3 separate regions of the Mus musculus genome follow, and all the other regions are reported to be linked to region 2. The links are microRNA targets in miRTarBase. Many come from high-throughput screens and were not tested one by one. Region 2 holds a microRNA gene; each other region holds the end of a gene's coding sequence.
The links. Region 2 holds the annotated microRNA mmu-miR-450b-5p (UUUUGCAGUAUGUUCCUGAAUA, at 2,455-2,476, shown strand). A microRNA usually pairs through its seed, bases 2 to 8, with sites in the 3' UTR of a target mRNA and lowers its output. Matches are read on the target gene's strand: a 7mer-m8 pairs with bases 2 to 8, a 7mer-A1 pairs with bases 2 to 7 and ends in A, and an 8mer does both.

Region 1: the mRNA of Ammecr1l is a reported target of mmu-miR-450b-5p. Seed matches in the 3' UTR shown: 7mer-A1 at 2,830-2,836 and 7mer-m8 at 1,602-1,608.
Region 3: miRTarBase lists Sgms1 as a target of mmu-miR-450b-5p. Seed matches in the 3' UTR shown: 7mer-A1 at 1,443-1,449.

What each region holds. Positions count from the first base shown.
Region 1 is chr18:31,780,220-31,785,560 of GRCm38, reverse strand. Ammecr1l (AMME chromosomal region gene 1-like) reads right to left here. Exons shown (of 8, transcript NM_153515.4): 8 at 1,478-4,917. The coding sequence ends at 4,806. Gm26533 (predicted gene, 26533) reads left to right here. Exons shown (of 3, transcript NR_165792.1): 2 at 1-11; 3 at 3,039-4,327. Among named protein-coding and RNA genes, the nearest start is that of Gm26533, 6.2 kb to the left of the region's middle.
Region 2 is chrX:53,045,179-53,050,519 of GRCm38, reverse strand. Mir450b (microRNA 450b) reads left to right here and starts at 2,442; the gene lies at 2,442-2,523. Mir450-1 (microRNA 450-1) reads left to right here and starts at 2,276; the gene lies at 2,276-2,366. Mir450-2 (microRNA 450-2) reads left to right here and starts at 2,153; the gene lies at 2,153-2,221. Mir542 (microRNA 542) reads left to right here and starts at 1,033; the gene lies at 1,033-1,117.
Region 3 is chr19:32,119,877-32,125,217 of GRCm38, reverse strand. It overlaps Sgms1 (sphingomyelin synthase 1), which reads left to right. Exons shown (of 10, transcript NM_144792.5): 10 at 694-2,491. The coding sequence ends at 873. Among named protein-coding and RNA genes, the nearest start is that of Asah2, 19 kb to the right of the region's middle.

The DNA.
Region 1 (5,341 bases), not on the chromosome of region 2:
CTGAATCACAGGTGAGCCTTGTAATTCACTCCAGAGATAGTCAAGTTGACAATCAGGAATAGCCACTACAGACACAACAGCAAAATTAGTTATGAAGTAGCACTGAAAATAATCTTATAGTTGGGAGGAACTGTACTACAGGGTCACAGCATTAGGAAGGTTGAGGACTACTGTGATAAAGGGTTTGCCATTTTCCCACAATCCCACTTTATATACAACATTATGACAATCCAGGTGGCTAGAGAGCCATCCAGCCCTGGCATTGTGTACTGGACCTTGGCTAAAGAACTTCCAACAGGCTAGGGCTAAAGACATGGCTCTCCACAGTTAAGAACCCTTACTATACAATCATAAACCTGGAGTTTGAATTCCATTTAACATGCCAGGAGTCTGGAGTGGAATTGTGTTTTTGAGATAGGTTCTCACTCTGTAGCCCTAGCTGACACTCCAACAATTTTGTAAACCAGGCTGGCCTTGAGTTTTCAAAGTTCTGCCTGTCTGTGCATCTTCTAAGTGGTGGTTTTTACAGGCATGAGACACCTGTCCTGGTGTTTGCCTGCATGTATATCAGTATATTGTGTGCAGTCTCTAAGAAAGCTACAAGAGTGTGTCAGATCCCCTGGAACTAGAATTACAGATGGTTATGTGGGTGCTGAAAACCAAATCCAGATCCTCAGTAAGAAATGCTCTTAACCATTGAGCCATTTCTCCAGTGTAGATGACTATTGCTTTACTCTATAGCCAAATTCACAGCAGTCATTCTGCCGGAGATTACAGGCATGTGCCACTAATCAACGTTTTTTTGGGGGGTGGGGGGGAGCAGGGATGGGGATGGGGCATAAGATTTCATTTTGCAGTTCATCCTGGCTTTGAACTCTTGTCCATCTTCCTGTCCCCCAAATCATGGTGTTACAGACCTGAGCTACCATGTCTAGGTTTGGAAAGAGCTTTAAAAGTATCTAATCACCCCTACTTTCACCAAGAATTAGCACCGTTAACCTCAGAGAATAAAGGACAACTTCATACCACATATTTAAGCACCTCTAATCTCAAATGATAGGAATCTTTAAGGTTTTATCACACCACTTATTTTGTGTGTCTGTGCCAGACCACATATATAGAGGCAGAGGACAGCGTGGTTCTCCTTCAACTATATTGTGTTGCAAGGTGAAAAGGTCATTTGGTGGCAACATCCTTCATGGGCTGAGCCATCTCACCTATAGTTTTTGATATTCTGCTTTTTAAGAAACAGTCTCTCACTGTAGCCCTCCCATGTTGGGATTGAAGGATGGCTCTATCCTACCTAGCTCATAGGAATCTTTTAACAGGTACTCTCACTGGGATGGGTTTATTTCCCATCTCTTTATTCCCATCAGTTGTGAGGCAGAGGCAGACAAATCTCTTATGAGGACATCAAACAAAATAATGGAAAATCTGTTTCCAGTAACTCAAGTCAGGTGGTCACACAGAGGCAGAAGACAGTTTTTGTCCATTATGATTTATTCTCTACAATACTTCATTCAGGACTCTTGATGACGTGTACTCAGAAGTTATATAGCCACGAGGCAACCAAGTGTAATACAAGTAATTGGTCTGAAGTCTTTGCAGTGAAGGCCATACAATCTCTTCGGGGAAACAAACAAAACAAAACAAAACAAAAAAAACACACAAAAACAGTTTTCTAGGCTTCAGAAATCAATGGAAAGTAACACTATTAGTGAAATTGTAGATGTTAACATAGCATGGAAAACAGATTTTGCTCAAAATATTAAAATTAACACCCAAGACTTTTGTATAGATGATTTATTATAAACAGTAAAATATACGTAATGTCTCAACTACAAACCCTTTTTCATGTGTACAGGGTTTCTAACATGAGTTATTTTAACATTAGGAAGCAAAAACATTTTAAGAACCTCACAGTGGAAACAACCCAACACTAACAAACTCTAATGATCAAAGACATTCGCTTTTAGCTCAGGAAAACAAGGACAATTCATAATTACAGAGTATATGTCCTAGCTGTGGGTATGATGAGACAAGCCAACTTTCCAGACCAAAAGGCACTCACAGCTAGGGATGAAACAAATTCCAAACCAAGCCAGCAGTTTAGCTGGCTCTCTGAGAGCAGTGGGGACCTTGCAGCCTATAGCTAAAGGAAACCCAGGGCAGGAAACGGTCCCTTTCCACTACCACTAACTGGCCACCCTTATCACTGCTTTGGTCAACGTATGGAAGGCAGCTCAGTTCTAATTCAGAGCTTGACCTCCCTATGCAAAGCCCCCAAGTGGACAATCCACAATTGCTTTTTCCTGAGAGCTATCTGCCACATGTTCCCATGAGGTGACCAAGACTGTACTTCAACTTGTGAATGCCTATGCTCAAGTCAGGACTGACACCAATAGAGCCCATGTCTTTTGGGGCAAATAATTTTCCTTGCTGATTTCCAGGTCTCCTTGACAAGGCAGGAGGAACTTGAGCATTTGCACTGCAGAACTGCATTGGGAGCACGAGGGAATGTGCAGGAGTAAGGCGACTTCACTCTGAAACCACTGAGCCCACTTCAGTGTGATGCTGGGCCTTGCTAGCTGGATTCTTGTTTACCGATTCCCCAACCCCACCTTTCTGGGTCTTTCTGTCATTTTCTTAAATGGCAAGTATTCTACCCCACCCTCAATAAAACAAAACACACACTATACATTGGGAAAGACAAGATAGGGCAACATTTCTACAAGAAAAACAGGCTTGAGGAGCATGGCACTGTAGATGCTTGCATGACCAGTCTCACTGAGTGCTCAGGGGTGAAGTTTAGCACCATTTTTTTTTTTTTTTTGCATTTTGCTTTAAATCTTTAGAAATTAAACAACTCTTAACATAGAACGCTTGAACAGTAATGAGTGTAGCCCTATGTATCAATACTGTTTTACAAATTGGAAGTGGGTACCTCAGTCCAGAGCTGAGCACCCTGCATCAATCCATGGCACCTGAGAGCACCTGCTGTCACATGTCAATAACATAGCCTTCATTCCCCTCGGCAGGCAGCATGAGACCCCTTCATCCTAGGTATGTGAAGGAACCCACCCTGGCAGTAAGGGCCATGCATCCTGGGCATTCCAATGTCATCAGCACTTCCCTCATCCATTCCAGGTCTGTCATCACTCCTGGTACAACCTCTCTGCCCAGTTTTAAAACAAAACAAAACAAATGAAAACCGCAAGAACTTTGAAGTGATGCCTAGAATAGCACATATGGAAGTAGATCTACTTCCCTTCCTCCATTCCTGGCACAAGAAACTGATGAGCTAGGACTTGAATATTTGCCCATTTTGGAAAGCCACACCATCACCACATCAATCCTAAAAAAAGAAATCAAAACATATGTTCACCAGGTTGAGGCCACATCTGCCTCCCGAGTCTCTATGAATGTTGCTGAAAACCAGTGCGCCATCCTCAGGAGCCTTTCTTCCAGCCGGCCGTTTCCTTTGAGTTGCCTGAGCAGTCAGTGCCTTTGAGACAGAGCTGTCAAAGCACCTCCCTAGTTTCCTAGTACTACACGTTTTGCCACCAAATGAATGAAAAGAATTTGCTATCAGCTATTTTGGAATGAGTAAAGATGGGAGCGGGAATGTCAAGAGTTTAAATGAGCAACACGAACAGTTTGGACATTTGCACTGGTGAAGTGAGGAGTCCCAGTATGGTAGGCAAGTTAAAGGTTCACCTTGTTTTATTACACAGCATTGTTCTAGTCCTACTGAGGACTGATATAGCAAGTCTTCCTACTTCTGCAGGCAAATCAGAATAAAGAACTCCCCTACTTAAAGGTCCCTCAGGATGTTTGCCTGTGAAGAAAACCAGCTCAGAGACCCTGGAAGCTCTCCTGTGACAGTATGTCCTAAAGCCCAACCCAACCACCTGTTTACATGTCTGTGCTTCTGAGAACCTAGATGCAGCTACATAGGCACTGCTACCAGAAAAGAGTTGAGGTAGCCGGGTGGTGAGGAAGAGATCTCTCCTTTCACACCTGCTTACGACGATGACATTGGGACCTCTATAGGCATCTCCATTCCATTCCTCAGCAGGCTATGCCACAGAGCTCACAGCAGGAGACTCAATGCAGGAAGAGTACCAGAATGTCCACTGAGAGTCGGGTAAGCATGAAAACCTTCACAGCTTACTGTACGATGAAATGTCATCACAGGATTTCTGATCTTGGTTTGAGAATCTTATCCAGGACTCACAGGGGCTCATGGTGCCCATGTTCAACCCTAACATGGTGTTCACTTCTGAAGCATGGAGGTTGTGGATCAACTCTTGGTACACAATAAACTGGAAGTTTAAAAAAAGGAATTTAAAACAACCTAAAAGTGGTTCCTGTTGGTCTCCGTTGCCCAGACTGCCAGGGAGTACAGCTAATTGATGTGGCGGGCTGTGGGGGATTGGGGAAGAAGCCTCCATGGGTCACAGTCAATTCCAGTTTTCAGTGTGTGGCCAATACTTGTGGGAAATCACCAGACAACGGTCTTCTGAACCCACACAGCCATTCTCACTGGTTATTGGGGAGCCCTGATCCAACAGAACCCCAGATTGAGGAAAGGCTGATATAAGGCTTGGGCCCCTCATGTTCTGTTGCATTCAATGTATCCCCACACCCTCCAGTCAGCAGGAGGCAGACTTGGCAACGGAAGCTAGCATCATAAAATGGTGCAGTAATAGAAGTAACTGGACCAGGAAGAGGAGGCATCTGCTCCAATGATGTCATAGCCATTGGTGGCCACAGGGGGGTGGGACTGGTCATGTAGCCGTGTGTCAGGAGTAATGATTGTAGAGGGGCGGGGCATGAAGAGTGCCATTCTGGAAACAGTGCTGTCGAGAAGCAATATACTCTGCATAACTGATTGTCACCTTCTCACTTCGATACCTGTATGAGGAAACAGGCAAAGTGTTAAGAAGCCCAAATATCTCAGTGTCAAGAGTCACTCAGTAGAGAAAACTAAAGGCTTATCCCACAGTTCCAAAGAATAAAATGGAAGACCAAGAGCAATCTTACAGAAAATGAAAAGACGGCACAAGAAAATGACGTTGTTATTACAAATGGACACGATGAGAAAGCACAACCACAGTTCAGCCCTGAGAATGCATCTCAGCACATCCCACCTCAAAACGCTACATATGCTTATCAACAGGCTGCTGGTAAGCAATCTGCTCCCACCATCTGCATGAGGAATTCCAAAGTCAAATTACATGGGGGACAGATTGGAAGATGGCTTCACCAAAACCCAGTGTAAACTGCGTTATCTACGTTCAGGTTAAAAGTGAGATAAATTTGACAGAAATGCAACCTC
Region 2 (5,341 bases):
CCCGCTCCCCTCCCCAGCTCCAAGTCGGGGGCATTGTTGGGGGCTGGGAATACTGCTTGCTTTGCAGCCTGACTCCTTCCTTCGGGTCTTTTGCTACCCCTCCCCCACCTCCACTCTGCAGAGTGAAGGCAGAATGTTTGTGCCCTAGAAACCAAATCTTTACAATCCTCATCTCAGCACTTGCCTTCATTTCCTCTGTTCACTTACGGCCCCAACTGCTTTCATAGATTTGTTGTTTACAACTTTGAGAGATAAGTAAGGCAGACAAAGTTTCGAGAGACCTGAGGATTCTGAAGATGAAACCTGGGAAACTGCATCATGCAGACTTCATGCTGTGCCAGGTAACATTCCTGCCTGGCCATCAGAAGCTTACACCATAGTGATTAGGACAGAAAATGGAGCTGAACTAGTGTGTTTGGTTAGAAAAGGTCTAGTTGAAACTGTCTAGTCCTAAGAAGGACGAGTGAGAGTCTAACTGCTGGACACTTCCTAACTGAGGCTCAAGATTGACTTCATGATTAAGTAATGACTGTAAGTCACCTACCCATGCATGATTCAATGTGTACAAGCTTAAAAATTGTAAAGTGAATTCACTTTAAAGCTTTGATCCTTTCTATAGACTCAAGTAAATTAAGGGAGCAAATATGAACTAACCATAGAGATTAATTTAGTGGCATCCTCAAAAGAACGTTTTTAGTCATTGTGAATAATCATAAAAACTACCTAGAAACTTAGAAACATTCTTAAGATAACAAGCTTTTAAAAATCAAGGCCACAGAATTACACTAACTCTGGTGGCTGAAAGTAGAGTAGAAACTGGAAAGAAACTGCAAAACAAAGAGACTTTTTAAAAACAGAATTTGTAGTAGGTTGGTTAGCTGCTTATTTGTTTTGTTTTTTTTTCCCCATCTTCACAGTTTTGCTGTTTCTTTGTTTTGTTGTGCTTTGATTTGTGTCCCATTGTGAAATGCTACTCGCTAAAAGGTCTTTAAGGGTACTGGGAGATCCAGAAATTTGAGGTTACACATGCAGGGATCTCAGACGTCTCGGGGATCATCATGTCACGAGATACCACTGTGCCCTTGTGACAGATTGATAACTGAAAGGTCTGGGAGCCACTCCTCTTCCTAAGAATTGGTGGGGTGAGTATTACAGAGATGAGAGGTCAGGAGAGGACTGAGCCCTAGGCAAGGAGGAAAGGGGTTGCCATGGAGTGGGGGAGGGTATGGGTTGTGTTTTTATAGAATGAGAAGGGTTTTATTAATTTGCATTTCTATTCAGTCCACTGAAGCCTAGACAGGACATATGGTTTTATATATAGGCTAAAATATTAAAACTATGTTTTTCCTCAAACAAGAAAAACATTAGCTGTAAGCTTTAGAAAAACAGGTTACCTTAAAAATGTGGAGTCATATAAATAGCCATGAAGATAAATATACAAGCCACGGAAAGTCACGGAAAATGAAAAAACATCAGGATGTTTATTACTATTTATTTATTTATTTATTTATTTTTGAGGCAAGATCTTATGTTACCCAGACTCAAACTTGTGTAGCAGAGGCTCATGTTGAATTCCTTCCCCTCCTAATTCCCCCTCCCAAGGGCTGGCATTATAAGTGTATGCCATCATACCTGCTTGCAATTCTTTTTTTTTTTTTTTTTTTTGAGACTAGGCCTCACTAACTTGCTCATGCTGGCTTTAAATCACTCTCTAGGCCTGCCAGGAGGAATCTGCATCTGTGGCTCATTTGCCTCACCATCTATGTCACTGGGGTTACCACCTCCCTTCACTTCAGTCATTTTGAGGATAAAATGACTTATTAATAGTAAAGGGTTGCATAAATAAAATATGCTCTTCTAAGACAATGTGATAGGATGCTATCATTAAGATTGATATTTCTGAAAATAATTTTTGTGACATAAAGATGTGCCACAAACACTAATAAAAAGCGTTTAATGATAAACATGCAAAATATTTTCTTCTCCGTTTTAATTTTACATACATGGGATCAATATACAGATATAAGGCTAAGAGAACAGATCAAAATATTATAGTTATCCTGAGTTGTGCTTTAATGTTATTGAACAAATATGCTGGGGACTGATGCTGTGGTTGAATGATAGAGGAAGGAGAAAGGCAAACCAAGATGCTGAACTATTTTTGCGATGTGTTCCTAATATGTACTATGAGTATATTGGGGATGCTTTGCATTCATGGTTCTGCATCCATCATATGGACAGTCACCTCCAAGCTGTAGCACCACCAGTGACCAAAGAGAGATACTGAGCTGTTTTTGCGATGTGTTCCTAATATGTGCTATAATTATATTGGGAACATTTTGCATAAATAGCTTTGTGTCAATACACAGGCAAAAGGTTGGAAGAAAGAAGCTGCAAGTCTAACCATAGTTGTTTATGGTTTGTTTTTATAATAGGAATCAGATACAGAATTATTTTTGCAGTATGTTCCTGAATACATAACATAAGCGTATTGGGAACATTTTGCATGCATAATTTTGTATCAATATATGGGGGGAAGACTAGGAAGAAACATGACAAAACTTGAACAGAACTTATGTCTCTGGTATTACAGGTGATGTTTATTGTTGTCTTTATATTTTTATTGTTTTTTTTTACCAATTATTGTGTAAACAAAATGTTTTTCTTTTATAGCAAAAGAATAAACTTATTTTATTTTAGTACTAGAGTCTACATTGATTTTGGAGGGTGGGGTGGGACTTGAAACAAGGTCACCTAATGTAATTAACTGTGGCTATAGCCTCAGTATATAGTGAGGCTGGCCTCACTCTCATAGAGAACTAGTTGCCTGCCTCTGCCTCCCAGAGTGCTGGAATTAATGGCAAGTGCCACATACTTGGCTTTACACTGATTTTTTTTTTTTTTTAATCGTGAAACCCTGACCCATGTATAGAGAAAGATTTCTATGCAGGCAGTGGTTGGCCTAGACCACACTTTCCAACTTGTCTAGGAAAAGCCTACAGGACCACCATAAGGTCTGCCCTTCATACGTACATGTGCGCAAAAGACTCAAATACACTTTTTAAAAACTGATAATTATATTTGAGTTTTCGGGAGGTAGATCCTTAGGAATCTAACTGAATTGGGGAGCCCCAGGTCCCAGTGAGAGACCTTGTCTCAAAAAACCAAGGTGGGGATCTCTTGCGGAATGATATCTGAGGTTGACTCCTGGCCTCTATGCATTCACACACATGTCCAAGTATAAAAACACATTTACACACACAAACATCACACACTAAAAGAAAGAAATAAAATAAAAACACAACTGTAACGGCCAGGTGTGGTAGCTCAAGCCTTGTAATCAGAGCTCCAGGAGCTGGGGGAGGGTGTTTGCTCTCACTCTGTAGTGAGAGCCTCTCTCAAACCTCTGGGTCCACACAGAGTAATACCAGTGACTGCTAAGCAGACCGATGGCTCTTATCTAATCAAACACTCTAAACACAGAGAGAGTTGAAAGGGGCTTATTTTCTCCCAGGAGCAATTCAGGAAGGTGGCACTTGGATGATTGCTCCTGGCCTCAAGACACACTGGCTAGTTTGGGAAATGCCTGAGCCAGGGAAAGACCTTCCAGAAGGCCCACTCATGAATGACAGATGCCAGCAACTGGCTGTAGTTCCCCATCTACTGTCCATCCATCTAAATCCCTGGATGTTCCTTTGAGTACAGGAGACCTCCCAGTTCAGCTTTCCCTCTTCTTTCTTAGTAAGAGAGATGGAACTATATCTGGGGACTTAGTACAACCATGGTTTGACTGGTTCCTCTCAGGAGTATTTTTGGTTTCTTGGGATTTTGTTACTGTTGTGCCATTTTATTGGCATTTGTGGGTATGTGAGGTGGAGGGCTATGTGCACTCTGACTCACTTGTGGACATCACAGGACGTGTGGGAGTCAGTTTCCTCCTTCCACCATGTAGATTCCTGGGATTGAACTCAGGTCCCTTAGCTAAGGGGCAAGCTCCATTACCCACTGAGCCATCTTGCTATCCCCTCCTAAAGGCTTTATTAATGTTTCTCAGATTTGACACATTAGAAGAGGAGCTAGAGTCCACTCTGAGCCATTTATAAACACTCCAGGAAAACTCTCCCCCAAGAGCTAAAGCACTGTAGCAAAATCCGTATATTCCCTCAAGCAGACCTAGTGCAGTGGGAGAGATGCAGTCATTCACAAAGGTACTGGGAGATCATTCATCCCACAGAGCCTCACGCCCCACCCGTCTGCTTTAGAGCAACCACACAGCCAGACATATCCTTGGCAATGGGTTTTTCATAAACATTTGACTCTGCCACATTTAGTTAGAAACATTTTTCCTGGGAAGGGAGGATAGGAGAGAAGTGGGAGTTAAGATGAACCGGAGCCAGAGAGACTTTGGATGCACAAATCCCTTGCTCTGTATGGTTGAAAGCAGAAATAGGCAGGGTCTTGTGACCTTCTTCCATGCCAGGCCCAATCTCACAGAAAACTTCCTTCTACCCTGAATGATGAAAGCGACCTCCTTCCACATAAACCTCACTCTGGTCCTTGCTAGGCAAGGATTATGAAAAGGGAGAAGAGCCAAGGTGGGACCCTTCCTGAAATGGGAAGTCTCACCTCTGGGGCGGAGAAAGTAATAACTCCATCAATTTAATCACTGAGCTCCAGGCTCTCTCATTTAGCAGTGGACTAAAGTGGAGACTTGCATTTCCGAATCAGAATATCCTAGAATGTGGCGGATGGAGACAGCATGCCTCTTAGTTGGGAGGATGCCAAGCGGCCCCCGGAGTGGGGGTGGTGCAGAAGGGGGGAGGGTTTCCCTTTCTAACAAACCAGTCCTCCCTCGGTGCTCAGAAGAGGAAATGCAGTTGCAGGGAGAGGAAATAACTCCCAGCTAAGTCTTGCAAAGAACTGGTGGCCAACTTGAGTCTTGATCTACAGGCCTTTTTCTACTATAATACACTGGACCTAAAGGACAGACAGGGGTGACTTTAGAAGACAGTGGGAGGCATGTGGGACTTGAGGAACACCTTCAAAGGTGGGTGGGGCTGGAAGGGCCAGAGAAAATGAGGGAGTGAATTTCAAGCAGAGGAAGATGACAGGGGCACAGGCAGAGGCAGGAACAGATGGCTTCTGTCACAGAGCAGTCAGGAGCGTCTGGAGGAACCTGTCAAGGACAAATCCAGTTTCCAAATTCGGGCTGGGCTATACCCTGAGGGTGGAACTGTATCTTGGGGAGTGGGGAGTGCAAAATGCCCCCAGAAAACGATGGCACGAATTCCCAGAATGCAGACTTGATTCAGTAGTGAGAGATAAATTTACAGCAGTTTCT
Region 3 (5,341 bases), not on the chromosome of region 2:
CCCCTTCCCTGTCATCTTAACTTCTCCTGTCTCAGTCTTGGTGCTGCTGGCTGAGGCCGGAGTAAGAGGTGTTGGAAAGACGGGGAAGCTGTGAGTCTTTTTCAGTTTCTCTTTCTTCGGAACAACCACCTGAGGTGGTGCTGGCTTTTATAGCACCATTCCTCTGCGGAGCCAGTGTGTAAAGTGCTGATGTAATTGACACAGATACCACTTTCTTCTGAAACGTATGTGCTTACTATCTGTGAAAAAAATAATCTCCAAGATGGTATCCGCACTTACGGTGCATTCCTAACCTTTGGTTGTGATGGGCCCATCACTAGTTTCATAGTTACGTTTAACTAAGGTATTAAATATATTTTATCTATTATATTTATATATGTTATATTATTATAACATTTATAAATATACATTTATTATATAGGAGCACAGGAAGTTAAGATCCAAGGAGAGTGAAGAAAGGGCTGACTGAGATATTTAGTAGGTACAAATTGAGGGCGTCTCAGTTTCCCTTGCTCTCCTGGAATCTGACGTGTCCAGGGTATAGTGTGGTGAACTCAGAGTGAAGCCCGGCTGTGTGGGTGGGTGTGGAGCAAGTCTGGGATCCTTTGAATTTTAACATGGGAAATATTTTAAAGGGAAGACAGTAAGATTGAAAAACAAACAAACAAATGTGTATGTTCTTTGCTTTCCTAGGTGCTTAAGGAAGCCTCCCAGATGAACCTCCTGGCCAGGGTGTGGTGGTACAGGCCATTTCAGTACTTTGAAAAGAATGTCCAAGGAATTGTACCTCGATCTTACCATTGGCCCTTCCCCTGGCCGGTAGTCCACCTTAGTAGGCAAGTTAAATATAGCCGGCTGGTAAACGACACATAACAGCTCTGCCGACTAGGGAATGAAGAACAGTCCGAAGTGCTAAGAACTCCATGACAGAAGATGCCATAAAGTAACCACCTCCCCCTGCTATCTCTCAAGTTACCTTGACTTAACCTATTGCGTTACCTGCTCAGCACTGTGATCTTTTTTTTTCTCTCCAAAGGACCCGCGTTGGACAACAATAAAGAAAAGTTCCCACATCATGCACTGTAGACATTTCCTGTTGTTAAGCTTGGGGCTTCTATAACAGGCAGCCACCGTGTCCCTCTGTGTCATTCAGCCGCACCACCGTGTGCTTCTGTATCCTAAGCTCCGGCCTTTCCAGCCATATCTGGAAATAAAGTGTGTTATTTTCTTGGGAAAACATACTTTTCATATCTCTTGCCCCAAAGACAGGGCTGTAAGCCATTTTCTAGTAAATGTCTCTATGAAGGGTCCTAAGTGTCTGCATGGGAGTTGATTTAGAATCTCTCTGCCTATTGCACTGATGCTCGGCTGAAGACGATAGGTCCAGAGAGGTTTGCTCGCCTGGGGTTTTATACAGTCAGCAGAGACGGTGTATCAAAAAGTGCAAAAAAAAAAATCTGTTATAAAGTGATTTTTCTAAGTATTTCCTAACTTTATTTTTCAAAATGATGTTATGAAAACCAAATTTAAAGATTTTTACATGTCACAGAAAAGAGAGTTAACATTTAAAAGTGCTTCTTGGGAGAGAAATTTGTCTATGTTTCTAGTGCCTTTCTTGTCTTGATTGTATGGTCGGTTGGTAGGCAATCTTAAATGTTTTTATTTATTCCATGAAAATATAAATGTATGTATACACTACTAAATTTTACATTTATAGCTAAATTAAATCAGAAGACTGCTAGTGGTTTTAAAATTGTTTTGAACTGAAGAATAGAGGGTGTGAATTAGAGTACGCACCCATTCACATATTGTGAGCAGGCCGCACTGCCAGGTGCCGCTGAGATTATGCCATCTGTTTGGTAGTTTGGTTTTAACTACTCAATAAAAACAGCCATGAATATCTTTTTTTAAAGAGAGTTTCGAAAATGATCACTTACCTAAAACTTGAAAGCTATAAACTAGTTATCCATACTCTCATGACAGTTTTGTTGGTGAACAACAACAAAAAGATCTATTTCTTTAAAATATATTTGTGCAGAAACTGCATGTAATTCTGAGTTTTCCTCCTGACATACATATGTTTGGGGAAGTATTCTACTCTATACTTGCCAACGTGGAGAACAAAATAGTTTTCTAAGAGCGAAGAAGTATATATATATAAATATAAATATAATATCCATTCTGTATTTTATGTGCAGCAGGATTACCTTCTGTAGGTTTTTTTGTGTGTGTGCACATGCACAAGTGTGTGTGCGTGTTCATGTATGAGTGAGTGTGTGTGTGTGTGTGTGTGTGTGTGTGTGTGTACTCACAAGGTGATATTTGTATTGTAAAACAATAATGGTGAAGGAAATAAAAAGGCTTTTAAATTTTTGTTTGTTTTAAATCTTTGTAAAGTTATTATTCCAGAGAGTATACTGATATCTTACAACTTACCTAAATCATAAATTAATCAAAATGCACTTTTTAATAAAAACTTATACTGAAAGTATGTGGCTATTATATTGTGTTCATCTTCACATAAGTCAGGAAGCTGTTAAATCAATGTAGGAAACCAAGCCCCGGATCTCTTTAGAGCTTGCTTGGCCCAAGTCTTTATTAATCATCTACCTCTCCATGCAGGACTTTTACAATGTATTTTAATTATCAAAACACCCCTGCATGTTTTTGTTTTCCAGTATGTAAAAGGAGCCACAGATAAGTGAAAACCAAGCTGTTACCACTGAATTCTGCCAATAACTGAATTCTCCAGTTCTCAACCAAATCGCTCACTTTTTCTCTGTAATGGAAACAGTGTAGCCTTTCCAATGGAGGGCTGGGGAGGGTCTGAAAGGACCTGAAGTGCGCCATGTGGACAGTTCATGGCTCAGCAAACTCTTCACAGATAAAGATGGTACTAATCCTCGATTTAAAGCAAGGAAGGGCTTAAGAGAAGTGGCTTCTTGTCTGTCAAAGGGTAGCCCCGGAGAGGCAGGAGTGGAGCCAGTAGCGCCTGACAGCGGGGAGTTCGGAGACTGTGCCTCCCAGGCCTATGTGATGAAGTCTTCCAGCAAACCTATCAAAATGCCCCACCTGGCCCATCCTCACCTCCCTGGGGTTGGTGTTAGCCAGATGCTATGTACTGAAAAGGAAGCAGGATGGATATCGATATGAATTACCAACACATGTTAGAAACGGGCTCTTACCCCACCCTCAGGGTTTTTGTTGTGGTAAAGGAGTGGTTCTTAATGCTGCAACGCTTTAATGCAGTTCCTCATGCTGTGGTGACCCCCCACCAGAAAATTATTTTGTTGCTGCTTCATAATTGTAATTTTGCGACTGATAGGAATCGTAAATATCTGACACACAGGATGTCCCTGCACAGGTTGAGAACTGCTCTGGTTGAAGCCTGAGCCAGGCCCTTGGAAATAATACACCAGTAGCTGTTCCCTGCCCTACCCACCACCATTTCTAAGACGAGGGTTTCATGTAACCCAGGTTGGTCTTGAACTCCTAATCCATCTTCCCCGCAATTTCCAAGCACTGGTGTCACAGGTACACACCACTCCTTCCTTCCCTGGCCTCTCTTGTAATTTTTGTTTTGTTATAGGGCCTGAAGTTGCCCATGCTGACCTTGTACTAACTGTATCTCATGGAGGCTTCAAGCATGTAAGACACTTTTGCTCCAGCCTCCAAAATAACAGAAAGGAGTATGCCTGCCATTATGCCTGCTGAAACTTAAAATGATTATGTTAAAAATGCATACTTAGGAGTTTATTTGCCTTGTATGTGCCAGGAAATTACCTTGTGTGGTTTATACAAGTATATACTGTTTATTGAGCAGTACACCCCTGTTTCCTCTATTAAGGCCGTTTGTTCCCCTAGACAGTTGTTTCATTTTTATACACATATATGATTCTATGTGACTACAAAATCTAGGAACACAAATGAGAGAGAGCGCGTGCTATTTCTCATCTTCAAACAGGCTTAATTTGCATCTACCTGCTGCAAATCCCAAGGAACACAAAGAGCAATGTTGTATCCTGAAGGCAACAGTACAGGATAAAGACAGGATAACCACCTGCAGTTTCTGCCCTGTTTGATGAGCTGAATCCCTAGAAAACTGCTACAGTTATTTTACTTGTGAGTTAAGCATGCTACATGTGTTATCTTGGTAACCCTCATCTAACCACAACTGTCCCCATTTTATGAGTAAACCAGCCAGTGACTAAGACCAGAGGCACATAGGTAGTAAGAGGAGTCCCAGGCAGTGCTGTAAGGTATACTGAATGTGGGAGCAACCTCTGCAGTGGGAGAAACCTCTGCCTATGGGAGTCAGAGTAAGTTCAGGACTGTTAAAATGGCCTGTGTCACAGGAGGCGCAAGGGAATTTCACCAGTTTGCTACAAATCATGTGTTTTATTTGTGTCTGAAGCACATACCAGGCTTGATCAGTTTGATGTTTCACAAGCTGGCTTAGAACCACATAAAACAAGAATTTATGCTACTGAAAGTTGACACCCACCCCCATTATACAGAAAGTCAACAAGGTTTTGAATTCACTCCAGATTTGTATGCTATGCAAATCACTTAAGAACCTTTATCTTTCCCTGTGGTCAGGGACCTTACTTAAAGAAAGTAGAACTCTTGGCATTCTGCTTATTGTCAGCTCTTTCAGAGTACAGGTTAGAAGGAACTTATGTGACCCTTGTCATCAAATAAATTTGATCTCAGTAAACCAGCTAATGCCTCCTTTAAAAATATATATTTTGTCAGCATAATAATGTGTACTTGTAGTCCCAGATATCTGCTCTTGAGGTTGAGGCAGGAGGATTATTTCAAATCTCAGAATGCCTTGGTAGCATCACTGAGAGTTGTTTCACTTAGTCAACGGTCACAACCACTCAAGAGCATTACCAGTATCCCCTTAAGCAAGCAGTTATCTTTTAGCTCAATTAAGAATTAAGAAGTAGGGCTGGAGAGATGGTTCAGCGGTGAAGAACACTGACTGCTCTTCCAAAGGTCCTGAGTTCAAATCCCAGCAACCACATCTTGGCTCACAACCATTCATAATGAGATCTGATGCCCTCTTCTGGGTTGTCTGAAGACAGCTACAGTGTACTTACATAACATAAATTAAGTAATCTTTAAAAAGAAAAAAAAGAAAGAAAAAAAGAATTAAGAAGTAGAAAATTAAGAATCCAAAGACTGTGTTCATCTTTATGTACTGGTGTGCTTTATGAAGATACAAGGTTTTTGTTTCATGTTTTGTTTGGTTGGTTTGGACTTTGGTTTTTTTTGAGACAGGGTTTCTCTGTGTAGCCCTTGCTGTCCTGGAACTGGAGACCAGACTGGACTTTGA